4 linked regions of the Styela clava genome follow. The protein of the gene in region 3 purifies or fractionates together with the protein of the main gene of each other region. This does not show direct contact. Links are inferred from orthologs where the notes say so. Each region holds a gene or a part of one and is shown on either strand. Other genes may lie near its edges. The genes, in order: uncharacterized protein LOC120332416, proteasome activator complex subunit 3-like, 26S proteasome non-ATPase regulatory subunit 14 and TGF-beta receptor type-2-like.

Region 1 (7,483 bases), on a different chromosome or scaffold from region 3:
CAAACGAAAAAGTGGTATAAAATCAAAAACGTGATGGATAATATTGTTTTGAAGTAAAATAAATTGATTACCGGTATTTAAGCAGGCTCTGAATACAATCTAAATTAACATCATACAAGTCTACAAATTTTCTTCAGATAAAGGTTATAAAGTCTGCTCACGAAAGCTTGCATTCTTGAAAGTTTTTGTTATTAAAAGTTGGTTTGAAGTTGGAGATGAAATTTTTTTGAAAGCTGGACTGATTAGTAGACCCATGGGTAGTTTGCTGTTCTAGTTTGACATAAAGTACTCACTTAAAAGTCGATTAGAACAACCGGGGATAAAAGGGAAATGAATAGTGTTTATTTACGCTTCTCTTACACGCCTAAGTATACCACGTGTCGTGTCTGATGCCAGGCTTATTGGTGTTTTATCATTTTTATTACGAATTGTAGTATCAGCGCCAGCTGAGATGAGTGTTTGTGCTATGTCGACACGATCCTCTTCGCAAGCTAAATGTAGAGCAGTGTTCCCCTCTGAATCAGTACAATTGTAGTTTGTGTTGTATGCAAGTAGTAGCTTCACCATCTTAGTGTTCCCTCGTGAAGCAGCTCGATGTAACGGTGTTGCGTGGAGATGATCCGCTACGTCTGTTTCTGCCCCGCGGGCGAGTAAACCCTCTGCAATTTTGTATCTGTAAAAGCAAATATCATGTCAGAATGGAATAATTTTTCATACATGATCCTAGGTAAAAGAAAGTTGAGATGAGCAGGATACCCCAAGTCACAAAGAATTCTATTACATGAGAGTGTGACAGGCAAAAAGATGGAAGCAAAGTGGGTTTTATGTCCCCTCAAATACATTCTGAATAAATTGTCACTGGTATTAAGATCCGATACCTTCACCCAAAGATGCTTAATAAATGCACAGGTTTTTCATTTGTTACACAAGGAATAGTCTCTAATATTAACTATTATCTTTAAATAAAATGCATTATTTAAGAGCCACTGTAGCTTAGAACATTGAATAACTGCTTTTTGTGGCTTGTTTAAATCATTAATTAATGAAGGAAATCAAAAATGCCATGTTCATTACCATCTGGGGCGAATAATTTGTTCCACATTCTTATTCTCAAACCAGACCCATTTTATTTGACCAACTACTTGAGCATATGGGGCATTTTGTTTAGTATTACTGTATATCTTAATTATATAAATTATTTATTGAAAAAAACCCTCTTTCATTTATATTGCCTATAAAAAAAAACCAAATAGTACACGAAGTAAATTTTGAGTAACAAAATTACCGATCTCTCGATGCAGCATAATGCAAAGGAGTCTGTCCTGTTGAGTTTCTTGCATTTATCGCAGCACCTCTTGACATCAGTGCAAAAGCGATCTCTTCATTCCCATTTGACGAAGCAATGTGAAGAGCTGACCAATCACTGTCATCCTTTGCATTCACATCAGCTCCATTGTCCAATAGGAAATCAGCAATGTCTCGCTTCCCAGCAGACGTTGCCCAATGTAGTGGTGTTCGATCTGTTTGGTCCTAAAATAGGAAAACATTTTCTTATTTGCCTGAAGGGAAAGATCAAATGAGGTAATTATATGGCGAACCATACTTTCCCAATAACTCTTAGCTTGTAAAATAAGAAGAATGATTAAATAAGAATAACATAATCTCTTTCCACGAAATGGCAAGTATATTTGTGAGCTTTCAATAGATCATAGTCTAATTTCTTCAGACAAAACAAGACATGGCTTAATAAAACAGCAATAATTGTCACTCATACTGGTACTATTAATTAGCTATTCTGATACTTATCATATGTAGGCCTATATGGTGAGTGACAGTCCGAAATGCCCAAAGCATATTATTGGAAATTCAAACAAATTCGGATCAATTGCATTTATAAGTGATTCTTGGTCCAGGAAAGATTTTAACAGAATATTCACATGAATTTATTTTATTATGGCTTAGTTTAACTTTTGACACTGTAAAAACGAAAACTAATCAAAATGATGTTCATCCCTAGCGCTACTATTCTACCAAATTTAATTCCTATATATTTAAAGTGGCTTGTGTGAATTTATCTGGTAAATATACCACAGAAATATATAATAAAAATATAAGTAACTAAACAACTAAAATATGTTTGTAGGAAGGAATTTGATTCTGGTCAAATGAAACGTAACATAATACATAGGTTCTTGAAGTGAACCAAACGAAGCCCCAGGGCTCTGTGAGAGAAACTCAGAGGAATATTTTTTTTTAAAACTAAGCAGCGAATACATTTGAATCATTAAATAAAGTAATTTCAGTTTACTCAGGAGCAATAATCGGTAAATAACAATGTGTTTTTTTATTTTTATAAATTTATTGTGGGGTTCCGTAAACAATAGTAACACCAAAACATTGAGAACCCCTGACATAATATATGCGTGTATACTGCAAGAATCTTGAATCATCTTTACCAATTAAAATATAAAACGAGAATATCGGTTGGAAACCGAAGACTTATCGATCGATAGTTAGGGGATCCCCCAAAACAGAAACTGCAGTTTCGATTCATCCGCTCTTGTAACTTGCGCACTGCGCATCGCACACACACACTCGGCGGGTTTCAAAATTCTCTCGCTTTACAAAAATCTAGATCACTATATCAATAATTGATTGATAACTCGCTAATTATACGACATAATTCGCCCAAAATCAATAGGCTTCTGGTCCGAGATAAGATGAATGCACATGCAAAATCTGGAGCAGATTCAATCTCGCTTTCGTGAGATATCGCGTGCATCTAACAGACACACACACAGACATACAGACAAATACCTATCAATATACTTACCGATCTTAAGATCGATAAGTAATGAAAATGAGAAGTCACCTTAATATTGACAAACTGTGGCTTCTGTGATATTCTGTATTGCAGTAGAGCTTGTTGTCCGTCGTAAGCAAAATTACAAATTTCTTCGTTTGAAACTCCAGCTGACATATTTACTATCAAATCGGTCATATTTATTCTGGAAAATAGGAATGATATAGTGAGTAAGTAATTGGAGTAAAATTGTTCTGATTGGTCATGCTGCATTGACTTGCAATCACAGCTGCAGGGATGAAGATTGGCAAGTTTGTCTTGATTGCAGAGTCACATTTTTCAAACTCTCCAAAAGGGGAAATTTTTGACATCAAATTCAAAATCTTTCATGGAAACTGAAAAAAAAAATACATTTGGAGTTGACTAAGCATTCTCATTAAGAATATCTGAAAATTTCATTAGGTATTTGGGCCCGCGCGAAATGCAGTGTCTATCACCATTAGAACATTATTTATTAGTTCTGGTAAGACGAATTGTGGTAGTGTTTCCTTATTCTAATCAACTCCCTTAGCACTGTTCCTTCACATAATCGCCAGTTTCGTTCGAGTTACCTAGTATGGGCCATATTATTTTAAACCTAAATAGCAACTGCATTTATTTAAATTGCGCCAAGTATTCTGATTAAAAATAGAATACATTAGAGTCTCAAACCCAGAGTCTGTGTCAAAGTTTTCATTAATCAAGAAGTCAAAGTCATTTTTGCAGAACAGAAAACCAAGATTATGATTTTCCAGATAAACATATTACTTTATTAGAAGCCAATTGTTTGGTAATAATAACATTCTAAATCTTATGCTAACAAGACAGCTGTTAATCCTATAACTTTAACTATGCAACATAACTACTCTTTCCTGACTCCGACAAAATATTTACTGCCTTTAACTATTAGAGAATTATAACATAAGCAAGTACAGCAGTTCTTCGAGTGACCTGCAAATAGCCTATATCTCCTATTTGCCACAAAAAGTTTTGGCTTCTTCATTTTTGTTAAATAAACCCACTTAGATAGACTTTTAACCGTAAAATGGTGCTAGCTCTCACAAGTAAGAAGTCGGAAAAATTGTGGCTCGCAAGGTCATTTAGTCCAACCTTTAACATGTTTCATAATTACATAAAAACATTCCCATTTGATACAATTTTAATCATAAACATATGATATTCAGCCTCCAGATGTATGCCGACTTCCTTCGCCGACAGAGCGCCTTAGCTAACAATTAAAGTCAGACAAAAGGCCGGGTATAATTTTACTCAAAGAATGTAATAAAGGCAGGGCTCGCGAGACCGCCTTTGTTATATGTTTAAATGGCCCTTTGACATAAAATCAAGCCTGCTATATCGATTAAATAGACATGTTTATTTATATGAATGCCACTTGAAAAGAATCATAAATATTATCGCCTCTGACATCCCACAACGCGATATAACCATGGCGATACTGACGCTTGCTCCCCGCATTCCTTTGCAAAATTGTCTATTCATGGAAACATGACATAACATATTTCAATAACCTTTGACCTGGTATGAAGAATGCGCTCAAGTGAATATATTACGAAAATGTGATTACTATATCTATTTTTAAAGATGGGTTAAATAGGATAAAAAGTTCAAGATTGCTACAAACACAATCTTGGGTACTTGAATAAGGGGGAAAAAAATGACGATACGCGAGTTTGCGTGCAGTTATCATCCATTTGGAATAAAACGTCACTAAAACAAATTTATTTTCAGATGTTCTAAATATTTTGCGCTCAGTTTTCTGGCATTTTATGTAGTATGGTATATGTAACCTTTTGACTCATACTTTGAATTATAACGATATTGTCAACTGCCGACAAAACGATTTTTTGTAATAGAATCATATATATATACTTCATCAATGCAACATTTTCAACGCTGATTTTGAGAGTGTTCAGGAGAGTTGGCGCTTACAAACAGGCTCACGCATTAAAAACTATCATTTTCATTCAAAGTATAAGTATATTTAGATTTTCCCACACAAAAATCATACACGAAACACAAACAATGAACACACAGAAGAAGAGAAAATCGGGGAAACTGGCAAAATCTTTGTAGATATTGTCGCGGACTAAAGTGTCCGCGTTTATGTTTTGTGTATATATATATTTTTATGTTTATGGACCTTTCCCCGACCTTTGACCCTCGAAAAATTCTTCCTATACTTTACCATTGCAAAATTTTCAGGGCTATTTTAAGAGTGCTTTTGCGAGTTGGCGCCTGTAAAATGGGGTATGTGTTTCAAACCATCATTATGATTCATCGCATACAACATACTGTTTTTTAAAAGTACCGGTAAAGAATTTCAGGCTAGTCTATCACAGCTATTTCTACAATAATTTTTATCACTGCAATTAAATTAAAACTCCTAGGAAGACAGCGTGATCATTGAATCATCTGATTTTTATTTAAGTTTCTGAAATACAACTAAAAACTAACGAATAGAGTTCAAAAACGCGAAAACGAGGTAATGTTTACAACCAGCCTTGAAAATCTGTCTGAGTGAGAAAAGTGTCTGAGCGGATGCGAAAAGGGGGGCATTGTTACGTCACTCTTCGCATCTTGCTGATTGGCCAATGTCACGAAATAAACAAGGAAGTCGATACTCGGGGAAAGGTCCGTAGACTGTTATGTTGACATTTATTTAATGCTGTTTTGTCGGATTTGGACTCCGACCACTCACTACATGTGAGGCAAAAACTGTCTTTCGATCTCTCTTCTCCGGCTGCCGCGCTGGCGGGCGGTCGTGTTTTCGGTTCCTTAGTTATATTTTGTTGTGTTGTCTGTTTATGTTGTTTTAAGTCTGATATTGGAATTGCCGAACAATAAACAACCAATCCGGAACCTTTGAGTCTTCTGATTCATTCTACAACCACGGTAACAACATCATGGTCCGTGACAATATACATGCATATACAACCCACATTCAACACAAACATATATTTAAAATAAAAAAGACGAAGACACGAACGGGTATCGTTCGGGCATTAAACTTGTGTAAACATAAACACTCGGTGGGTCCCAATTTATAAATACAATTTAATAAATACACTACAGTGCTTTTTCTATGGAAATAGGGAATAAAAAACACTTGTCGAAATGGTGATGCTCAGTGTTCCCTCTAAAGTGCGCGCGCGCACACAGCTTTCAGAGGCTGCGCACAGACGTATTTCGATGTAATGTAACAATATTCTCGGTTAGCAGGTTGAGAAAGTTTGTTGTTGGCCCACCCATTACCCGGTTAGAACGCCAAAATTTCTTCATTGGTTTTTGCACAAATATTAGTCATTTCCAAAAAAGTGCGCAGACACCAAAATTCCTGCGCACACATACTACAAAAAATTAGAGGGAACATTGGTGATGCTGTAGTTCAATTTCTGTGCAAAAATAACACAGTAACAAAAAATTGTTACTAAATAAACAAGCTTTGTAAATAGATTGAATGTTTCATAACAGTCTATGCAAAAACACGGTATGCAATCCAATCCTTATCCATAAACTTCTTTGATCCCGGTGGATGGGCCTTGCTCATGTTGGTATTACGCGATACAAATCCAACAGTAAATACCAAAACACACAGCGCGTAGCATTCTCAGTCAAACAGCCAACAAGTAAGTCATATTTATTCTGGAAAATAGGAATGATATAGTGAGTAAGTAATTGGAGTAAAATTGTTCTGATTGGTCATGCTGCATTGACTTGCAATCACAGCTGCAGGGATGAAGATTGGCAAGTTTGTCTTGATTGCAGAGTCACATTTTTCAAACTCTCCAAAAGGGGAAATTTTTGACATCAAATTCAAAATCTTTCATGGAAACTGAAAAAAAAAATACATTTGGAGTTGACTAAGCATTCTCATTAAGAATATCTGAAAATTTCATTAGGTATTTGGGCCCGCGCGAAATGCAGTGTCTATCACCATTAGAACATTATTTATTAGTTCTGGTAAGACGAATTGTGGTAGTGTTTCCTTATTCTAATCAACTCCCTTAGCACTGTTCCTTCACATAATCGCCAGTTTCGTTCGAGTTACCTAGTATGGGCCATATTATTTTAAACCTAAATAGCAACTGCATTTATTTAAATTGCGCCAAGTATTCTGATTAAAAATAGAATACATTAGAGTCTCAAACCCAGAGTCTGTGTCAAAGTTTTCATTAATCAAGAAGTCAAAGTCATTTTTGCAGAACAGAAAACCAAGATTATGATTTTCCAGATAAACATATTACTTTATTAGAAGCCAATTGTTTGGTAATAATAACATTCTAAATCTTATGCTAACAAGACAGCTGTTAATCCTATAACTTTAACTATGCAACATAACTACTCTTTCCTGACTCCGACAAAATATTTACTGCCTTTAACTATTAGAGAATTATAACATAAGCAAGTACAGCAGTTCTTCGAGTGACCTGCAAATAGCCTATATCTCCTATTTGCCACAAAAAGTTTTGGCTTCTTCATTTTTGTTAAATAAACCCACTTAGATAGACTTTTAACCGTAAAATGGTGCTAGCTCTCACAAGTAAGAAGTCGGAAAAATTGTGGCTCGCAAGGTCATTTAGTCCAACCTTTAACATGTTTCATAATTACATAAAAACATTC
Region 2 (7,545 bases), on a different chromosome or scaffold from region 3:
AAATTTTGGAGAGACTCCTGTCACAACTGGTGGTGGTCCCATTATGACCCTTGACCCCTTTCAGGAAATCTAATTAACTACCAGGCTGTACAAAGAATTAATATCACTGATTCATTACATTGAAAGAAGAAAATACAGACGGAAATGGCCACCATGTCCGCGATTAGATGGCAGGTTTTTTACAGGAATATTCACTTAAAACAGTGCCATAATGACTTACGATGAACTCAATTAATGAGGATGTTCACTTCCATTACATAACTTGACAATCGCAATAATAAAATCACATGCGCCAAGCCGTCAAAATTATCACCAATTCTAAAATTGCAACCAGCATTAATGTAAAATTATTGCGTCATAATCGCTGTGAAATTCTACAGTATTTATTTAAACAAATATGGAATAAAGTACAAACCACATACAGTGGTAAATCAGTTTGGATAAATAGTATGCTGTTCAGCAATGTTTTTTTCACTGGTTGGGAGCTACTACAAAACAATCGTCTAAGAACAAATAACAAGAAAAAAATGACTGTTTCAGACACCACAGAATACAATGCTAACCCATTATAATTATATACATACAAAACAGTAAATACGACAATTACTAATGTTTTTGTATTTGATTCTACTACGGAGTCATGAGCGGGAGTTAAATTTTATCATAAATCCTGAATCCAAAATTGCATACTTGATCGGACCGTGCAGACCTGGTGAAAATGGTGCTTGAAAAGATAGGTCTTTTTTTCCATCCCCACCATATTACCAATTTAATTTTGAACCTTTTATAGAAAGCTCTCGCCACCTTGAAAACAACACCCTCACCTGCCCTGTTTTAGGTAATTGTAGGTTCGCTAACCCTGACATCTCTGAATTCACAGATGAATTCTATCATTCTTTAATTGTAATTGGATAATCACCAATTTTTTATTATTTTGAGCGCTGGGATGTTTTTTTGTCAGAGGCTTTCTACAAAAGATCCCAATTTTTCAGACATGTCTTACAAAATCGAAGAGGACAAGATGTAACAGGTATAAATATACTGAAATCAGGAATATGTAGTACCTTGATTCAGGCAGTTTAACAACGAGATTCCTTTATTGGAAAACCATCAAGGTTATAAATCGGAATGGGTATAGTAATATTAATATTGACAATATGGTCTTAGCGACATAAGCTATCTGGGTTTGGCTTAAAACAAATACAGAATTTATGTATTTGGGAAATTTGGAATTTTATTTAATAATAAACAATCAAATTGTATACCTAGTAATTAGTAAATGATTGACTAATATGGTTGGAGTCCTCAATAGTACAGGGAGTCTTATTTTGATATGGTCATAACGTCGTAATCCAACTGGGTTTGGCTTGCAACAAATACAGGTTTTATGTATTTGGACAATTTGGAAATCAAATTTTATTTTGTATAACTGGTAATCAGTAAATGATTGACTAATAGGGGTCAGAGTCTTAAATAGTATGAGGAATCTTCTTCTAAGTGATACTTCACTTATTAATGTTACAACAATCAACTATTGGAAAATAGTATCTTAACACTTTCAAAGTCTTTGCATGTGGGGAGGGAAGGCATTTATTACCAACAGTTGTGCTTTATGAATAAATACGGATTAGAATATATTTTAATGGGCATCCTAGACAATTGACAACTTAAAAACGAGATTTAAACACTCAGAGCTAACAATAATTGAACCAGATAATAAAATAAGATACAATCAAAACCTCCTAAATTCAACAATACACCTAAATTTAGCAACTGGAATTTGGACAATATTTTTTATCATTGTATATCCATCACCTGCGTATTATCATTCTGATTCCATAGTTTGTCAAATAATTTATTCAAATACCCTCACAATAAAAGCCAGATAAAACACAAAGAATGGCAGACTGAATGAAATAATAAAATAGTAAATTAATGCGAAACAGCAATTGTGACAATATTAGACAGGCTCAAAACACATAAGCATAAAAACAGATGAATGAATTTTTTACCAAGCTAAAAAAATTTCATGGTGAACTTTTATTCGTAATAAAAATGTTTTCAATAAAATGCCTCGCCAAATACAGAGGATGAACTAATTCTTGCACCAGCCATCTTGAGTCCAATAATATCCTGGCTTTCTATAGTTTTTTGGATCATATCATACTCTCTCGCCAAAGTTTTAGACTTTAATACATTCCATCAATGTTTGAACTTCTCGGTTTCTTGATTTTTTCGATATTCTTTAGAATCAAGTCATGAAGAATGGAATAATGATTTCTCAGCTCACACACTATAAGTCTCAAGCTAAGAAATTCTTTCTCATCGATCTCCTCAACAAAGCGACGATAGTCCTCAACATGAGGATATTTTGCTACTTTGGTGATAATTTTACCTCTTGTGACAAAATATCGTGATATTTGATCTAGAAATGAAGCCGCTTCGCTTTCAACTTGTCTCAACTCTGCAAGAGTATCTTCTTGAATTGAGACTCCAAAATTATTTCCGTCTTCAATTTTTGGAATAAGATGAGTCACCCACATTCGAACAGTATTAACTTTTTCCATCAGTAGACGAATATCGGGTTTTATTCGATCGATTATTGCTATTAGATTTTTATTGCAGGGCACTGGACCACAAGCAAATGAAAATACTTTGGTACCATCAATGTCACCTCCCGGTCCTACATCAAGTTTACGTTTTTTGGGGCTCGTAACATGACCATCAACGTTATTAAAGTCTTGCACAATAACTGCATTTGGAATGGGAATTTCAAGTTTTTGTGCAATGTTTCTGACGTTTTCAGTCTGTAAAACATCTTCTTTTAAAAATTTATCTAGTTCAATACATTTCTTTGGAAAAAATTCATTGACTAAAATTTCAGCATCTTTAGCGATTCCAAGTTTAAAATCAGAAATTTCTTTCCTCAGTTGCTTATCCTTGATTTGTAAATCTTGATCCATTATTTTATTTTGATATTTTAGTAGTTAAATACCTGTAATACAAGAGTGTGGAAATGTGAAAAAAGCCCTTCTGCTATCAAATTCAGCAATTTTTACAGTACTGCAGTAAATAGTTTTAGTAGGCCTAAGTAAAAGGCTTATACATAAAAACATGAAAAACGCTAGTACTGTTAGTTTCTATAGGCCAGTGGTCTATCTGCCTGTAGCAAAATTTACAAATGGTGCCGGCCAGCCGGTAGTGTAAAGGCAGAGTAAGGGTTATTGAATTATAGGGGTAGTCACTACAGCAGCCTTCCGAACTGAGAAAAACTGACCAAACTATGTTCTTTCGGTACCGGTTACGAACGTATCGGCAGCCTATCTCGATTCCAAAACTCCAACTCTGTCACCACTGCACTTGCACGAATCAATGAGAATTCTTATCTATTTTTCTTGGTTTCCCGTACTACTGAGGAGCTATACACTACCGGTAATATCGTCTTATATTGAGATATGAAAATTAAAATCTCAAAACTTTCAGAAAACAGCCACTCGCAAAATAAATCTTTTTAGCCCATCGTGACTCATGGTATTGCGCGGAGTCAATTCCGGATAGAATAAATTCCAATGTCATTCGTAGAACTGGGAAGCGCAGTCTTTGGATTTGAATCAATATTATAATTACTTGTCTTATATACACTGAAAACGGAAACAACCTAACGTTCTTCACGGATAATTTGCTTCAAGCTGTGATAAAGTGATAACCGGACTGGGTAGTGTGCGAGTAACGAGGCTCCAAATCAAACAGACCTTAGCACGTCGTAAGATAATACTGCTGTCTTTCCTAAAAACTACGCAACAAGCTGATTAAATAGTAATTTGTAGCGCCGGAATCGTAAACCGTTTAACCGTTAGAATCACATTTGGCATCGCACCGCTGATTTCCCCGTGTGGGTCAGCAGGTGCGCATCCTGTGAAGATAATTATGTGCGAGAGACGTCCCAGACTCCTCGTCGTCGCAGGGTGGTTCACGTTTGTCAAAGAAACGAGAATTTCCCGCGGCCGATATGATTAGCCTGGTGTCACTCAATTCGACTTTCAGTGTTGTCGTGCTGATGTGATTCGTAATGATCCGAAAGCATAATCTCTCTGATTTTCATCGTTTTTTGGATTTGGATTTCATTGCATGTTCTGGTGCCGTGGCATTTTATTATAGCCTCGAGTTTCTCAAAATGTATCTAAATTTAACGTACTATCCAATCTACTTAGGTGATTAGCGTACGTATCCTCCATTATTTACCATATTATAGATGTGACAATATAATGCAATGTAACTTGTAATGCATCCTAGTATAGAAAATAGGACGTCGCTTGTCAACACCACTTTTTTATATTGGAAACTATTAATAACAATTTATATAAAACGATGGGAACCCTTTGTACAAAGTTCCCACCAGAAAACATCCCCTCCGAGGAATAACTCCAAAAGCAAGCAATAACGCGAGAAAACATTTAAAATACCTGATTAAAGTTTTTAAGGTTTGTTATTCAAGCACCAACTCTTCAATTTCTTGTCCAACACAATATAATTTTTTGCGCATAAAATTATTTGTGATCGAATTATTCAGACGAAACGGTTTACTTTCAAAATTACGAAAGCCAGAACGATTACCCTAAACATTTTATCGGCAATGTATCTGGTCAAAGTATGTTTGAATATTGAAATAAAGTTCTAGCGCTCTACTGGCTGAGGATTTGATCAAAACATATGTTGTCATTTTGTTTGTGATATTTTGATTAGGCTTCATCTCTAAATGCGGATATCTGACCTTATAATGTGCTGGATCAATGAGTTTGGCTGGGGGTGGTAAACGTACTCTTATTATGGGTACTATGTAGTACTTTCTGTTTGTATTCCATCGATCTGAGATGATCCCATATAAATACATTACAGCCGTATTTACCATTACAGTATAGGGCAGGGGTGTCAAACATGCGGCCCCAGAGAACTTCCAATGCGGCCCTCGAACGCTTAACAATAATTGTAATTATTTTGTAAGTATTTTTTATCTAATTGATTATTCACACACAAAAAGGACAATTTACAAAAACTAGTTTTGAAAAATTGATTTTTTTATTTTCAATTTGACCCAATTATGGATACACTTCAAGCTAGCAAAAAAGAATTGAAAAAAACAACACTTCAGGAACTAAATGAAACGCAATGTACACAAAGAAATTGGCATTTTCGAAAAAAAGGGGGTTGCAATATTTCTGTATTTCTCAAAATTCTAAAGCACATTGTTTAATTTGGCACATTTATTTTTATGTGTTTATATTATAATTATCGTACTACCTAGTTACTAAAAATCAATATATATAAATCATAATCCAAGCGGTCATATGCCACGTGATGCCAATGGTCGACCCCCCCCCCCCCTTTTGGAATGTGTAAAAACGACGACTAATAGGCGCGACTTGCCACGCGCCGAATAAGCGCATGAAACTTTATGGCTCCGGATGCCGTGGCAAGTAGAAGCGATGTGATTGTGACTGAATAAGGCGATTTATGGACCTTTCCCCGACCTTTGACCCCCATCAATTTTTTCCTATACTTAACCATCGCAAAATTTTTGGTGCTTATTCAAAGAGTGGTTTTGCGAGTTGGCGCCTGTAAAATGGGGTATTTTGCTTCAGACCATTATTCTGATTCATAGCATTCCACAATCTGTTTTGTAAAAGTACCGGTGAAGAATTTTAGCCTAGTCTATTGCAGCTATTTTCTACACTAATTTTTTATTACTGCAGTTAAACTGAAACTTCTAAGAAGACAAAGTGATCATTGAATTATTTGATTTACATTTAAATATTCGAAACAGAACTAAAAATTAACGAATAGATTTCAAAACGCGTAAACGTGGTAATGTTTACGGCGACGCCTGAAAATCAGTCTGAGCGGATGCGAAACACGTCACTCTTTGCATTTTGCTGATTGGCCAATGTCCCGAAGTAAACAAGGAAGTTGATGCTCGGGGAAACATTCAGTTCTCTTAGAAACCTTGCGTTTTGAGGCCTCCGGCCTGTTGCTCTTGCCAGACCACCTTTTGCTGTCAACTCGGCGCCCCGAAAGTATTCGTACCAAGATGACGCACAACCTGAACCCTAACCTGGCACACATACTATCTTCAGGTTGTGCGACATTTCGTACACACCTAAATTTCAGAGCTCCCCCCCCCCCCCTCTTTGAAAATTCCTGGCTACGCCCCTGCTCGTTAATTAGAGTTGATACTGTGAAATCAATTCAGCCCGATATTAGTAAGCTGGTGGCACAAAAGATGCCAAACGTCAGGACATATATAATAAAAAAAAAAAACATGGGAGTTTATTCGTTAGTCTTTTAGGGGTATATATTTAGATTAAGTCATTTTTATTATGTATTATTCTTTTATCAAATCTTTGTTCAAAAATGTTTTGGATAGTTGTAAAAAAAAATTGTTTTTTGGAATAAATAAATTTGCAATAATAAGTGAAATACCAAGAAATTATTATGTAAATGCCATTTAAAATTTCAGAAAATAACAACTTCATTCGGCTATTTAATTGCATCACAATATATGTCACACACTACACATATCTGAAAATATGCTTTTAAGTATACATTATCAAAATATATCAAAAGCTGTTTGCGGCCCTTTGCACAATTCCCAAAATGCAATGCGGCCCTTGAAAACGCACGAGTTTGACACCCCTGGTATAGTAGGCCGCGAGCCGAGGCCATGAAAAACGCCTAGAAAGTGAGTTTCGTAGCGCACATCAGGTAACTACCTGAAAATGATTTAAAAATGTTCCTTAAAAATGTAGTAACAAATATTGCCTTGTTCCCACTTCCAAAAGTTGCACGTTTTACGGAAAAGACGCTTTTACTACAAAAAATCTGTGCTACGATCTGTCCTATATTCTCTACATTTTCGACAATGAACAATGACTTCTGCATGACGTAACAATTGAATCGAATCAGCTGTTAGCGAGCGGATGAATATTAGTTATTACTGCTCGAGCTTGCGTTGAGTTGGGCAGCCTTTCCATAGCCCTGTTTAGTTATTATTAGTTAAGTTATGCTAAGACGTTATTGAAAAATGTATAAGTAAGTTATTAAACTCTTGTAGATCCTTACAACGGATATGGGCCGTGAGACGAAGCCTTGAAAACGCCCAGAAAATGAGTTTCGTAGCGCACATCTGGTAACTAAATAAATCCTTCAGTTTAGTGTGAAAATGAACATACTGAACGCATTACAGCTTGTTCCACAATCCTGATGCGAAATTGAATATAAGAGGTTCCCGGAAATTCAATAACCATAAGTTCACAACACATACATAAGAACTATGCAATTCGAGAGCCCTACAGCACACTAACACAAATGTATTCCTGTAATGTTTTGCCTGACCAAAATCGGACTTCCTCAGTCAATCATAATTTATTAGGTAGATTATGAAAAATATGACATACGTGTAACCAACAACAAAAAATACTTTAATTGTGTGACAGGAGTGGCGAGTGACCTCGAAAGCAGCGACACCAACAACGCTGATTCACATTAGCG
Region 3 (7,829 bases):
TGGTACAAATACTTTCGGAGCGCCGTCTGAAGAATACTTTTTTATTAGAGCTTCAAACAAATATAAGATTAGAATTTTCATCTTAATCTTGGGGAGAGGAAAGCTGACGATACGGATTGATCATATGGTTACTGGTAATCTACTTACACGTAATCGTATCCCACAGGATTAGAGCTTGTGAACACATACAGGGTGAACATTGTTGCAATGTTGTTGTTGGAAACTCTCATTATCAGGACTGGGTAGCAGTATTCGGTGCCATGGAGCTGTGACATTTTGGTGAAGAAAAAGCTTGCCATGTTAGATGGAGCCAGAGCTACCAGAAATTTTATTGGCTCCAGCTTCTAAGCATCATTCTCAGCTAATAATGTTGATTTAAAACGAGAAAAAGAGACCGATATGACGGCACACATTATTTCAAGTGCCAAGTTTGGATCGGAAAGTCAGTTGAACGCAAAAAGAATATCGGTAAAATGAACCTCGACTAAACTTATTTAAGAGCAGGTTGCGAGACCAATGCGACACACCTTCGACACGCCACACTAAACAATGCCAATTGTTTGAACAACAAACTATAGCGCTGACACCGACAGGCACCTGATATTTGATTCATGGCAAGCATTAGTTAAAAGTACTCAGTACACAAAACTCCATACCCAGCTCAGCTTTGAGTAATTCTATTTGATTGTATTACGATAGGACCAGGATGTTTGGTTGTAATAAGACGGGATGGGGTGTTTGGTTGTATTAAGATGGGTAGAGGGTATTTGGTTGTATTAAGATATGACGAGGTGTTTGGTTGTATTAAGAAGAGAATCGGAAGTTCGGTTGTATAAAGATGGGAATAGGATTGTTTGGTTGTATTAAAGAAGGAATGCGATATTTGATTGTAATGAGGAGGGAAGTGGGAAGTTTGGTTGTAATAAGATGGGAAAGGGATATTTGGTTGTAATAAGATTGAAATGGATATATTAGGATGTGCATGAGACATTTGGTTGTATTAAGAAGGGAATTGAAATATTTGGTCATAAAAGATAATAATTGCGAAATTTGGTTGTATTAAGATGAATAGGGATATTTCGTTGCATTAGGATGGATAGGGATGTTTGGTTGTATTAAGATGAATTGTAATATTTGGTTGTATTAAGATTGGAATTGGGATTTTTGGTTGTATTAAGATGAATTGTAATATTTGGTTGTATTAAGATTGGAATTGGGATTTTTGGTTGTATTAAGATGGTATCGGATATTTGGTTGTATTAAGATGAGTTTGGGATGTTTGGTTGTATTAAGACGGCAACTGGATATTTGGTTGTATTAGGAAGGAATGGCTTGTTTGGTTGTATGAAGATGGGAATTGGATTGTTTGGTTGTATTAAGGTGGAAATGGGACATTTGGTTGTATTAAAAAGGGTTTTGAAAATTTGGTTGTATTAATATGACAATTTGACATCTAGCGATAGCTGTACCACCCTTAAATTAATCAAAATGCAGAAAATAAATTGCACGTGTCCCAATGATTTCAGTATTATTAATATGAGTTGGTTAGCACTAAGCCTTGGAATCGAATAAATGTTTGTTCAATTCACAATGTCCTGGCTTTCTGTTCATATATACGGTTAGCCCAGTCATGATTATTTTCACTAATGGCTCTATTGTTTATGCAACCTTCATCAATTAATCTAAACTATGCATTCCTGCTTTATTTTCAAATGGTTGATTTAAGAAATCGAGATTGTGTTTATAGTTTTCTGTGTTGCTTTCAACAAGCTTAAAATATACAAAATATGTTCCCTAATTCTGTAATCAGTTTTATTTATTTTTTTATTTTTTTTCAATAATTTTATCGTCTTTTATGCTAGCTGTGGAGTCAAAAATAAACTTATAAAGATTATATTTCAATATTTGCTGTCCTAGCGCCAGGACAAACGGGGGACTAGCATTCTAAAACCTCATTTGTTGATTAATCTACAAATAGTTCCTTGGATGAGATAGATTTGAGAAATACACAAGAGAGAGAACAATTTCTCTCCCCGTTTCAGAGTAGTGAGTCAGTTTGCATAGGATATATTCCGATGCGAATAGTAAAGAAAGAAAACGTAACATTAGATAAATGTTCAAGAAAACATATCATTTGACTCTTGAAGTTTGAAGTCATACACAATTGCTAGTATCCTCTTATATGTCAGTGAAGTATGTATGGAGTCATGATGAAAGAGAAAAAATGTAAAACGTAGGCCTATAGGAAAAATTAACAAATGACCCGATCACATGAAAACCAACAGCGTGTCGTCGGTTTCCAGTTGGGTTATACATTAGAGTAGACCAGCGTTTCCCAAACTGTGTTCCGTGGTAAAAACATTAAAAATACGTCTAAAATGGCCGCCATGGCGATTTATGGAACCTGAAGTTGTCGCCCAACTGACCGTTCGATATCGCGTCATCGTCGGCCTAAAGTGAACCAACTATAGGGTAGTGGCATTTTCATTAACCGTCGGTCTAGCTTGTTGACTGATAGGTTCATTACAGCTATGCTGCTGATTTTGCTAAATGCAAACAAGTAGGTCTAAAGAATAAAGGGGGCTCCCGAAGTATGCGAACCAAGATGGCGGACATCGGAATGTAATATGTGTACTAGGTTAGGGTTAGGCCATAATTTTAGGTATAAATACTACGGGAGGCTCTTGGCTAGTCTTCGAACTGATAATAGGACTAAAATAAGGAAAATTGGAAAAAAATTATCGCCTAACCCTAACCTGTTACCCATGTTACGTTCCGATGTCCGCCATCTTGGTTCGCATACTTCGGGAGCACCGAATAAAGACATAAGATCAACTCTTCTTCCTCCATATCTGCTTGGTTTTACTTTGAAATGCTGAAAAAATTGCTAAACTCTATTCAGTAGATAAATAAACTGCAGGTTTGCCGCTCGCGAAATTGCGGCAAGCACCTTTATCACCATTAGACGTAACATTAAGGGCAAACACTACGTTAATTTAAATTAAGAAACAATAAAACATTTATAATATATGCAATTTGTGAAATATTCAATCATATTTTAGGTATGTTTAGCACACTTCTGTTAGTTTTCGCGGCCCATTTGGCAACTTGCCACGAGAACCCATTGGGAACCGCTATATACATTAGGCCTACAACATTTTTCTTTATCCATTTTACTTTTACTCTTTCATTTTTTTGTGTTCCGCGAGGCGAGATAAAAATTGTAAGTGTTCCGTGGCCGAAATAGTTTGTGAAACGCTGGAGTAGACAATCCTTGGAATAGTCAGGTTGCTGAACAACCGCCGCCTTCATGGTTCCTATTTCTTTATTTCGAAGTCAGTGCGTCACGGAGCCATTGGAATATACTGTGGCGTCTCTGGGGTATGGGAGCCATTGCTCGTTCCATGGGCGCCGTTTGATTAGGGTAGCACGAAGGCGAAAATTTTAATTGTAAAATTTTCAACGAAATAATCCAAAGTGTAAATGATTGAATATCGCGTTTTTACTCATAACGTATAAGTATCTTAATTCAACAGCAGTCGTTAAAAATTGTCATTTAACGATCAAGTGGCGCATATATTTGGTATAAGTGCGTTTGTTATAAGTGCGTCTTGATGAGCGGGCACATGATACTCATCATGTTTTAAATTTTTTTAAAGGTTTTGCTCGAATTCTCCATTTTTAATTTTTTTTGTATTATCATATTGTGGAGTTTTCGAAATAAACTATCTATCTATCTAAGTGTGGGTTAATTTTGATTACCCGAAAAAAAAGAATACTTCTTCTTCTTAATGTAAGTAAGAACAGTAATAACAATACACTATCACCATTTTTTGATGTTTATTAATTTCAACTTCTTGCGTGTGAGAGGTAGTGTCTTATTTCCAAATAGTTTCTGTGTGTTCGACTCGTGCTACAACTCAATTATGTTACGCATCAATGAATACCATGAATAAGCAAATATCGTTTACCCTAGTCATGATTATCGTGTGTGCCTGAATTTCGTTTTACCTGTTGATGCCCAACACAGGTCTGCAAGTGGAGAGTTTGCGAGTTTCAGGCTTTTGTAGTAAGGGTATGCCTCAGTAAAATATCTGGATAAACTTGGCATTATGGACGGGACCTGGCAAGGCACTTGTATTCATTAAGTCTGTAAGTTTTGAAGTATAAGTTTTATTTCAAATCAGAAGCCTACAGCTGTCTGACTGTACAACAACGATAAAATAATTGTTGAAAAAAAAATTAAAATTGATTACTGACTCTAGAACTCTGCCTTTCTATTAATTTTGAATATACTGTATTGGGTATCAGGCATACCCGTACTTCTTTCTCGTCTTATTGTTTATATTTGTAAAATACTAGTACCGGTAAAGGATTTATGTTGAAAGGAAATTTTCCTTGACAAGTAAAAAAAATTACTCAAAAATAGCAATGTCAAAATGTTGTATAGTACAGTAGTGCGTATCTAAATTATGGAATTTATTTTTTATAATAATAGCAGGTTTATTTTGATTAGCATGAAAGGTGATAGAATAATAGCCTAGTTAAAATAAAATTAAAAAATAGCCTGCTAGCTGAATGGTTACAGAAAGCTTAAGTGTCTTTAATAGCTTAAGTGTTTTTTGTAGGTGTGCTGGTGAGCAGAAGCATGGTACTTTCACTTTTTTGCTGTTTCAAGGGTTTTACTTGCTCTGCAGAATTCTCCATTTTAATTAGTGTATTTAGGAAGGAAGGATTTACATAATTATCTGTATTATGGAGTTTTCAAAAGTATCTATCTTATACAGTTAGACTATATTAATTTGTTTGAAATTATCATATCTCAGACTTTTTAATGAAGAAACTACGAGCTGTTTCTCACATTTCAGCTCACATTTAAAATATAAGAATGGATAGGTTAATGAGATTAGGAGCGGGTGGGGGACTTCAGGGATTTGGACAACAACCCCAGTCTGATGCTCCCATGGTTGACACAGCAGAACAAGTTTATATTTCATCGTTAGCTTTATTAAAGGTGAGAAATTGTGATTGGTGTTTTTTATTTCTTGTGTTTTAAACGCCAGTTTTCAAAATTTTCTGTGTTCGTCTTGTGTATCATACTTCTTTTTATCATGGTGTAGTTCAAAATAAAATGTCTTTTTTTTATGTCTCATGGTTTGAAACTCATTTGTAGTTATATTGCTCAATTTCTCTCTTAGGTCTGTGAGTGTAAAATGTAAAATAAAATTAGAATAATAATATAGTCAGAATAAATTAATCATATTTTTGTATTCATTAAAAAAAAACTAGGTTGGCTTCCCACTTTGCGATAAGTATTAAATTTGCAATGATTAATTTCAATAACCTAATCAATGTTGAAAAATCTAAGAAGGTATATTGGTCACTGAATCCAACACTAGCCACTTACCCTTCCAAAATTCCCTCAAAAACAATGAAGTTACAGCATAAACAATGTTAGATAAATCAAATTTCTGGATAAACCTCTGCAGGCTCTTTATGCAACTTACAGACTAACATAAATTTATCTTTTCAGATGTTGAAACATGGCAGGGCTGGCGTACCAATGGAAGTCATGGGTTTGATGCTCGGAGAATTTGTTGATGATTATACGGTGAGATATTGTTTGTACTCAATACTGACTGAAGATTGTAATGAATATCTGTATTTTTATACACCTTTCACTTCAAACAAGACTCAGTTACCCTATGACACCAGAAGACACAAGGAGTCCAGCGATCTTCTCTGCATATAATTATCCCTATTTAGGTATAAATTCATTACGACTTCATAATTCAGCATAAAAGGCAATAAAAGAATTAATGAAAACAAAATAAATATGATTAGCAAATCAGGAAAGTGAACAAAATAATAAATAAGTGAGGGTTTGAACGTACAAATTTTAGATGAAAAGTGTTGTCAAAAGAAGTGTTCATTCACACAGAATTTGAACTCGCGACGGGTACTTGGAGGTGCAATGGAAGGCATATTTCTAACTATGAGCATGATGTGTAAACTGCCAAGCCTTCTTCCAAAAGCTTACAATGCTTGCTTGTATGATGTTAAGATGGAGTAAAACACCTCATAAAAACTCGGAACAAGTCAGGGCTGATTATAAATTTTATCCTTTTTAACAGGTCAGAGTGATTGATGTATTTGCAATGCCTCAGTCTGGCACTGGAGTCAGTGTTGAAGCTGTGGATCCGGTGTTTCAAGCCAAGATGTTGGACATGCTGAAACAGACTGGAAGGTATGCTGATATTAGTTGTGTCAGCCTACTTAGGAAAGTGTGGGGAATTTTGTTTGCTTCGTGATGATAATAGAATAACAGGATTTCTATATTTATCCTTTTGGGAGTGGGAAGCCCAGAAAATGATGTTTTGGGTGGTACTGGTATCTGACTCAGATGACTGTGAATGGTTGTATCGATACCACCCAGTCATCTAAAACTTAATTTTTCCCATTTTGCTATCATATATATTTTATATGTTTTCTGGTTTAACGAAAAAAAAAATTCTTTCTTTCTCAATCATATGGCGAACCAAGGACTTTCGTCTGGTTACCAGTTCATGCAGAGGCATAGTTGGCTGGTCATTCGTTTCAAACGCATGGACTTTTGAAACAAACATGTTTGACCACTTGATGCTTCTTATGCAGTGTGTTTTGGTTTTAATAAATGTGTTGAAATGACTAATAAAATTTTTTTTTTAATACAGGCCTGAAATGGTGGTAGGTTGGTACCATTCCCATCCTGGCTTCGGTTGCTGGCTATCTGGTGTGGACATCAACACCCAACAAAGTTTCGAAGCGTTGTCCGAACGAGCTGTTGCCGTCGTGGTCGACCCGATTCAGAGCGTTAAAGGAAAGGTTAGTCTTGTCATTATAAATGTCTAGAACAGGGGTTCCCAAGCTTTTTTCAGGACGACCCCAAATACATCTTTCAAGTTTCCAGTGCGACCCCAGGTCAATATATATATATATATTTCATGAAACTCTAGAGCTTGTTTCACTGGACTTTTGAGTTTGGTCATGTCGTGGTATTAAGTAAAATAAGCTAAAACCAAACAAGCGCCTACATTTTCTATAGAATAAGCATGCCTATGTTCCTGTTTTAAAGTAAGCCATGGACTACAAACTGCTAAATTTAACTTGGTTTGTCAAATCTTAGATGCTTTGTACATCCATCCTCTACCATACCTCAGCGACCCCATGACCTGTTTGCGACCCTACCTACTTATCACTCAAACCCAAATTGGGGTCGCGACCCCTGGTTTGGGATCCCCTGGTCTAGAATATAATTGTTTTCTTCACTGTTGCTTCAAATAACGCTCGGTACAGGAAAGCAATCAGACCACGGTCTCTCAAGCTGGGCTCTAGGGGCCATGGGCGGGCGATTCTCTGGTAGTCATTAGCTAAGACTTTCACCGATTATTATTTTTCAATTCTTCAACTGTAATGCATATTTCCATGTTAGTGTTGTGGAGATTCACATAAATTATTACATTCATTTAAAACTAATACCAAGTACTGCAATTTGTTTTCCATAAAGTGGTCTGTAGCAAAATAGGACGCTCCAGAAGTGTGTGTACCAATACGGAGGTAACTAATTTTGTTTGCTTATTTTACATCAAGTTGTGTAAAGGGACTGAAACCTATAGGCAGGGGATATATTCACTTGGCTAACACAGAACCCGCAATAGAACTAAAATAAGGAAAATCGGAATAAAATTATGGCCTAACCCTAACCTGGTACACACAATACTGGAGTAGCAGGAATAGTCTGTTAATTCCAATAATTCTCAGTTTGATTGAGCTTTTTCTTTCCAGGTTGT
Region 4 (7,018 bases), on a different chromosome or scaffold from region 3:
AAAATATATTGCAGCTGTATCGCGCGATCTTGAAGATGTTGTTTTCAAAAAGTAGTTTACATGGGAAACAAATGCCTTCCTAAGTATGTAATAAAAATTTAACAATGGCTATCTATTCTTGTCTATTTTTTTTCAAAAATGGAATGCGGGAGCCGTTTTTGCCTCAGCCTACAAGTATGCAAAGACAGTTTTCAAATACTGATAAAAGCCAATTAAACGAGGTTAATTTTTACCTTTCCGAAAGAATCTCTTTCTCCTGTCTCCAAGCACCGTAGTTAGGAAGTCTGAATACTTTGACAGAAATAACTTTGCTTGTTTGATTATCCTGCTGTAACTTCGCTTTCCAAACTTCTGCAAATCTTCCTCGACCTATAAAGGGCAGACAAAAAGTTTAATACTGCAATAGATGCCAATGGATTGTAAAGCAGAGCGAAGTTTCGGTCTTGTTTGATTTCGTAATGTTACGTGGGAACGAATAACCAGAATGCTTTCAGATTTTTTGTAGGCTCGTGCGACGAAATCTAAATGATTGTTCATGTACATACGTACAATATATATCAATAAATCTAGACTTAGTGACTAAGTGCGTCACTTAAATCTAGCTATAATTGGATTAACTCTCGAAATCTATTTTTAAGAACAATTACAGAAAGAATCTGCAATATTATGCTTAGCACATTTCAAAAAATTTAGAGGCCGGGAGAGGAAAAGTTAGTCTGTTTAAAGTCAATATTATGCGTACCTATTATTTTGCTCTTTTCAATAGGCAAATGTTGATCGTTTTGGTTGAGAGCATTTCCTTTCGATCCTCGACTATAGTGTGAACTTACGCTGTTTGAATACCTATAATAGAAATGGTTGTTTTGATCATAATAGAATGAAAGCATATAGCAAGCATCTGACTGAAACTTATAAAATAGTATTCAACTCAAATATCATAAATCCTAGTTTTCTCCAAATGCATCGAAATAGTAATATGCCAGTCACAAATTACCTGGCAATATGGTAATACTCAGTACAGTATATACATATACATTTCCAGTCTGATATTTATTATAAAATGAACCAGTTGCGGAAAGGCAAGTTTGAGTACACTGTGTTGCGGGTTCCAATACTTCGACCCAGGGCTATTCAACTGGGTATACGGGTATACATACCAAGTCAGATACCGGATATACAAATAACAAATGGTATAAAAGGATTTAAAGCTATGGCCTGGGCCTAATATACTACAGCTCGTTTTGTGCTTTTGAAAAAGATACGCGCAGTTCACGTTCAACACTAATACTAATTCATAAGTACAGTGTTAGTCTGTCCACGACCACAAACCAGAGTAAGACTTCTGGCATGACTTCACGAAACAACTTTTTACTATATGATATTAAGTAAACTTTTTTCATTTGTGGGGTATACAAAGAGGAAAATTGGAAAAGATGTAACACGTAGTAAAAAGTTGAAGTATACCGCTCAAAACACAATGTTGATTGCAAATAGTGAAGCTAAATTAACACAATGTCAAATGAAATTAAGCTCCAACAACTTACTTGTAGGTTGAGCAGCTATGTTTTCCCATTTCATCCCATGCACTTTCTAATAAGCTTGAACTATCGGCTGAAAATCGACTTTGACCCGCGCCAGCCATTGCCTGCTTCTCCTTTTCGTCACTTAGTTTCCTTCGTCGAACGACAATCAGTCGAAATAGCAGGATAATGGCGACCACTAGGACAACACCAACCGCTATACCGGATGCGAGAGTAGCCGTGATGTCAGCATCTTTTTCTTCTTCTGAACAAAATGAATGCTCAACAAAAAGAGTATCAGGATGACACGGACAAGACGCGATAACTTAATTCTTAAATGATACAAAATCGTTGAGTTTCACACAATTTTGCCACAGATCTCACAAAGAATCTTCAGAATAGTAAAAACGATACAGAGAATTTCTTTAGTGTCAACGTATTTTAAGCATTTTGCACAGAAACGTTGGCGGTATACAAGGTATATTATTCGGGAGAATTAAGGTCTGCGGTGATCTTAACAGCATTTAGTACTCTCGACTGTATTGAATAACTACCATCGCATAGGTACATGATTAATTATGTTTGTCAAACTGAATATAGTCATACAAAACGTGGAACATGGACAGACCCGACAATAGGTTGTGTTAACGCCACTGCCTTAGTGGAGATGTGCTATGGATTTGTTGAAACTTTACAAACTTACTCGCATCAGTCGGAGGTTCTATCTTCATTAAAACAATGTTGGAATTACAATTATCAGACTGACACGTACAGCTAACTGTGCTGAAATTCTCTTCAGCAATATAGTTTGGTTCACGAGACTGAATACAAGTAGGCCCCAGATCCTCTTCGCCGTACACAGATGCAATATTTGTCTGAATGTACATGAATATATTTATACATATATTTAACATTGATACAGAACCCTTGTCAGATTATACAATAAGGCGTTTCATATAAGGCGCAATTACCAAATTAATTTTCAAACTTAAGGGCCGAACTGTTAAGTAACAATTTTAGCAACAAATAAATTCTCAAAATAAATATCCTATTCGTTTTCAACCGAAAAATGATGTGAAAAAATGATTCATAAAACATTTGCTGAGGAGTTGATATTTTTTTTTAGAAAATCGGGACTTGCATCCCATACACCTATTCTTATTATTCGTTGACTCACTAAATCCATCTGCCCATTGGATATCCACGAATTGAATAAGCTAAGTTCACTTTACCTCGTTCATGCACATTGTGAACGCTGTGTCTTGCTGATTAGGTTTCAAGGAAACAGTAAGAAGGCATGTTCCTTCACATGTATCTGTCTGTTCACATTTTTGTGTGTAGCAGTGCGTCACGTTGCATTGTGCGTCGGATTCTTCACAAGATAGACATCCCATTGATACAGTCATATACGGCAAAGAAAATAAAATCAGGACAGACAATATGCCAACATTAAGCTTTATATGTTTACCCATGTCCGTAGTAATAAACTGCTAAATGGAAAGTGATAGAGTTATATTATTAAGTAAAATCCAAAAATAAATTTGATGGGCAAATGTTGAATGAGAAATAAATTGTTTTAAGATGTTCGAGTAGGTGGCCGTACATTTGAACCCATACATTTGTACCCGTTGCATCCGCGGGTTCAGTCTATATGATGGTGCTAAAATCCATGGGTTAGGGTTAGTATGGGTTCAAATATTCGTAAAAAAATTCCATAGGTTCAATTGTCGTGGGTTCAAATATAATGGAACCGTTCGAGTAGTTTGTTTGAACTTGGAAAAAGTTCATTTTATTCGGTGTAGATATTTAGAAGATCGAAACTATCGTTTTGCTGTAAATCACGATACATTTTTTGAATTGAAATTTAGCATATATATAACGGTTTCGTTGTAAAATAAGTCCGTTCAGAACATTCGATCTTATTTTCAATGATATTTTTCCGTTGTACTATTCGCATAAGGACAAATTGCGAGATTTCTGTCTTCGGGGCAATCAGATCGGGTAGAATAATACAGGGGCCCTCTTTTTAATTAATAAATCTTGCTAAAATGTTATCACTCATTTGGAAAAATACAAAATTTCCCTTAATAAATATCGAAAAACAACCACAGGAACTGCTTTTTAACTTCCGAACGTGTTAAAGTATATTCCCCACGTAATAAAGTAAACACATTTTCATAAAGTCGTCCAGATATTGCTATTCTAACTGTATTTTTCATAAAAATCGGCGTGTTTGTAGAACTAACAACGACTTAAGTTGTACTCGTGTTGAGCGAAAGAATACTAAATCAAAACCAACTAGATTTATATTAAATATGTTGATTCTCCTGAAACAGAAAATGTTTATTCATCAATTATTGGATAAACCAACGATGGGATTCGATTCGAAACCCGTCTTCCTAGCTGAGCTCTATACTCTATGCAATTGTCCGCACTCAGATAAATAATTGGAGCATTTTTTCAAGTAAGGATAGTATCCACATAACTGTTTGAAATAGTATTCCAAATATCTTATTACCTATGCCATTTTGTGATACGCGAATGGCAACCATTAACAGATCAAAATCTGGCGTTGTACGAAAAATTTCAACTTTCGTTTAGAAAAAGTAATCAGTAACAATCAATATATATTAGAAGGTTCCATTACATTTGAACCCACAATAATTGCAACTGCTTACTATTACACCTATGGAATTTTTTTTTACGAATGTTTGAACCCATACTAACCCTAACCCATGGATTTTAGCACTCACTTATAGATTGAACCCGCGGATATACGGGTGCAAATGTATGGGTTGAAATGTACGGTCACCATATTAAAATAATAAAAAGAACATGCCAAATGTTTAGTTTTTGAAATTGTATCTTATTTTGTATAGAAAGCAGTAACCAATCGGATTTTAACAGCATTAACGGGTGGTCCGATGCATCAATTTCGAGTTTGTGTTCTTATCTTAGCTTTCAAGATTATGAGCGTGAGTTCAGCTTAAGATTCCAACGAATGGAACAGTTAGTTTATTATAGACAGGTTTTTTCGTCATTATGTTCAGGTGCTGACCAGGTTTGAATATTCTGCATAATGAAATGCGTTGTCTGATAGAGTTTTTTTTAATTTTTAGTTACCTAGGATTATCTGTTTACTTTCAGAAGAAACCGTATTTATTTGGAGTTTCGACACGTTTCAATATCCAATAACTTTTAATCTGTCTCGATATCGCGAAGTTGAATTCTCAGCTCAATACAAAATGTTCGAAGTTTTGTGTTGAATTATGCTTGGATGTCATAACCTATTGTAAACAAGTGCGGTAAGATTTTATGAGTATTCTCTTAGTGGCATTAGATAAGATCAAAATTTGAATTTGTGTTTATTCGGGTGCAGTTTGATATTTATTCTCAAAGTTTCAAAATGGTACATCCAATGTAAACTTTACTTGCAGCATAGGTTAATTACAGTGGCCTTGTAAAAGGGTTTCACTGCCGTAACATCCGACGTCTAAATTCCCTGGGGTGGCATTCAATGGACTTCAAGAATTATTACCGGAATGGCATACTGCACACTTATTCATCACTTTTATGTTATAATTTTCTTTAACAACAAGGTACCTTAAAGTTACTGAATACTGTACATTGTAATTATTTTTAGTCAGTAAATGTTTCCGCGCAGTTCATGGATGGAAATATGTTTGATTATAAGGTATTGTCTGAAATTTGTTTCACGCGTAACTGATTTACGGGCTCCTGTAATTTTTAATATTGTTAACTTTACGTGAATATTAGGATAATATCCAGTAAACTTTCACTTCGGTTAATTAAAATATGATTATATGTAATGGAGATTTTGAAAAAGTTTTGAATTCAGCGAAATCAATTTAATCTCGCAAATATTTCGTACGCGGGAACACTGCGAAAATCGATGCGATCCCGTACGAATGCCCGAAGCATTAGTCGGCTGACGCGACTGAATCGGAAGCAAAGTCGGACTAAGCGTAATTACAACGGTACTCGTACTCACTTAATTTCAATCCAAATTTACGCATTTGAACTTCTTAATTTTGCTGAAATATGGAACTCTCGCATGATTAAGCGGACTGCTGCTCTTTACTCAAATAATGCTATTATTGAAACACTCACAGCTTCCAACGTAAGTCGCCAGAAAGTTAGGGAGTGCCCAACGAACATTTCCAAGTTTAGGAATCACTCTACTGTACTTTCACTGTAGTACTTGTTCGATGTTTACTGAAAGCGACCTCACTAGATTTGTATCGTCAGCAACATTCATGTAACCATATCCTATTTCCAGGAAGTAATAAATTGTTCGCATATTCGATTACCCGTATCGTGGTGGTTTCATGGCAAAAAGGGTTCCATTTTACAGAAAGATTATAAGAATTTGCCAATCACAAAAGTGGCATTGTTGTAAGCTAAACTCTTCGCTATTCTTCTGATTGAAAAGAAACGACATTCAAACTGGAAAGGGTGAAAACCAGAAATACGTACATACAATTTATGAATATTTCATACAAAGCTTCCGCCACGAATGTAAAAATGTGAGATTTAGGAAAAACACCCCGCCACGTTTTAATATAAAAAAATTAGTAATTATCGAGTTAGGAATGCTTTGAAAATTTGAATTCCCAGCCCAATATGAAAGCCTAACCCTGATCCAGAATGGATAATTAATAATTTCCCTATTTTAAACGTCGGCGGATTTTTATTTTGCGGGAGCTTTGTACAAACAATCCCGAATTATTAACTGCCTTAAATTAAGACCTTTCGACTACCAAACCCCAGATCAACAACTTGAAGTACCCTATAAAGTTCTGAATGTAATAAATCGGCCACGATACATGCGTTTCGGCGTTTTTATTTTCCAGAACTCATCTTATTCTGATTACACTATTTTCTCAAGCTTGTGCACACCAAATACTACAGAAATCGATAAATTTGTTTATGCTTTTATGCCTTGACAATATGATTTTACAACAACATGAACGAACTGAACGCCTACTCGACTACAATTCGTCACTGAGCGACGAAAGTCGATACGCTCGTTTACTGTTTACTGAGAGCGACCCACTTCGCTTTGTCGAGGATGGTTGGGAGAAAGTGATGTTTGGTTACGCTTCGAGAAACCCGAGTTACGCGTTCGCATACAGCCCCAGAACACAGTATAAGGGCTAATTGTTGAACCCGATTAATTAAGATCAGGGCTTAGGCTAAGCTCAAAACGTTGAGTCTGATTTGTTTAAATATATTAGCGTAAGTTGGAATAATGTCCTGACATATTGACACCATTTTCTCATTAAAATTCTAAACCATCTCGCAATAAGTTTCATTGTGTGTTTTAGGGAGTGTATTGGTAATATATATTAAAATCTGAAATTTAAATTTGATAATAGGAAGTACACAAAATGAAAAACGCGTAACCTCTCTAAACGAAAACTACAAAACACAACAGGCTATTAGCCATGACCGAGATTTGAATAAAATACACGGAA

Evidence for each region.
Region 1: the proteins of 26S proteasome non-ATPase regulatory subunit 14 (region 3) and uncharacterized protein LOC120332416 purify together in Homo sapiens (affinity purification with mass spectrometry; 11 studies listed by BioGRID and IntAct, with this or other methods). This does not show direct contact. The link is inferred for Styela clava from reciprocal best matches to the Homo sapiens genes PSMD14 and PSMD10.
Region 2: the proteins of 26S proteasome non-ATPase regulatory subunit 14 (region 3) and proteasome activator complex subunit 3-like purify together in Homo sapiens (affinity purification with mass spectrometry, with the first as the bait; 3 studies listed by BioGRID). This does not show direct contact. The link is inferred for Styela clava from reciprocal best matches to the Homo sapiens genes PSMD14 and PSME3.
Region 4: the proteins of 26S proteasome non-ATPase regulatory subunit 14 (region 3) and TGF-beta receptor type-2-like purify together in Homo sapiens (affinity purification with western blotting; 3 studies listed by BioGRID, with this or other methods). This does not show direct contact. The link is inferred for Styela clava from reciprocal best matches to the Homo sapiens genes PSMD14 and TGFBR2.

Annotation. Positions count from the first base shown.
Region 1 is NC_135262.1:2,710,885-2,718,367, reverse strand, and holds the start of uncharacterized protein LOC120332416, read right to left. Parts: upstream 3,005-7,483; 5' UTR 3,002-3,004; coding exon 2,873-3,001; intron 1,531-2,872; coding exon 1,286-1,530; intron 674-1,285; coding exon 346-673; 3' UTR 1-345. UniProt on the Homo sapiens protein: Acts as a chaperone during the assembly of the 26S proteasome, specifically of the PA700/19S regulatory complex (RC).
Region 2 is NC_135250.1:5,804,046-5,811,590, forward strand, and holds proteasome activator complex subunit 3-like, read right to left. Parts: upstream 3,015-7,545; 5' UTR 2,964-3,014; coding exon 2,190-2,963; 3' UTR 86-2,189; downstream 1-85. Other genes in the region: exocyst complex component 2-like, read right to left, coding at 1-42. UniProt on the Homo sapiens protein: Subunit of the 11S REG-gamma (also called PA28-gamma) proteasome regulator, a doughnut-shaped homoheptamer which associates with the proteasome. 11S REG-gamma activates the trypsin-like catalytic subunit of the proteasome but inhibits the chymotrypsin-like and postglutamyl-preferring (PGPH) subunits.
Region 3 is NC_135263.1:668,317-676,145, reverse strand, and holds the start of 26S proteasome non-ATPase regulatory subunit 14, read left to right. Parts: upstream 1-4,811; 5' UTR 4,812-4,888; coding exon 4,889-5,014; intron 5,015-5,533; coding exon 5,534-5,611; intron 5,612-6,134; coding exon 6,135-6,247; intron 6,248-6,713; coding exon 6,714-6,864; intron 6,865-7,824; coding exon 7,825-7,829.
Region 4 is NC_135252.1:2,400,351-2,407,368, reverse strand, and holds the start of TGF-beta receptor type-2-like, read right to left. Parts: upstream 3,011-7,018; 5' UTR 2,993-3,010; coding exon 2,753-2,992; intron 2,396-2,752; coding exon 2,224-2,395; intron 1,786-2,223; coding exon 1,545-1,785; intron 844-1,544; coding exon 743-843; intron 370-742; coding exon 234-369; intron 1-233. UniProt on the Homo sapiens protein: Transmembrane serine/threonine kinase forming with the TGF-beta type I serine/threonine kinase receptor, TGFBR1, the non-promiscuous receptor for the TGF-beta cytokines TGFB1, TGFB2 and TGFB3.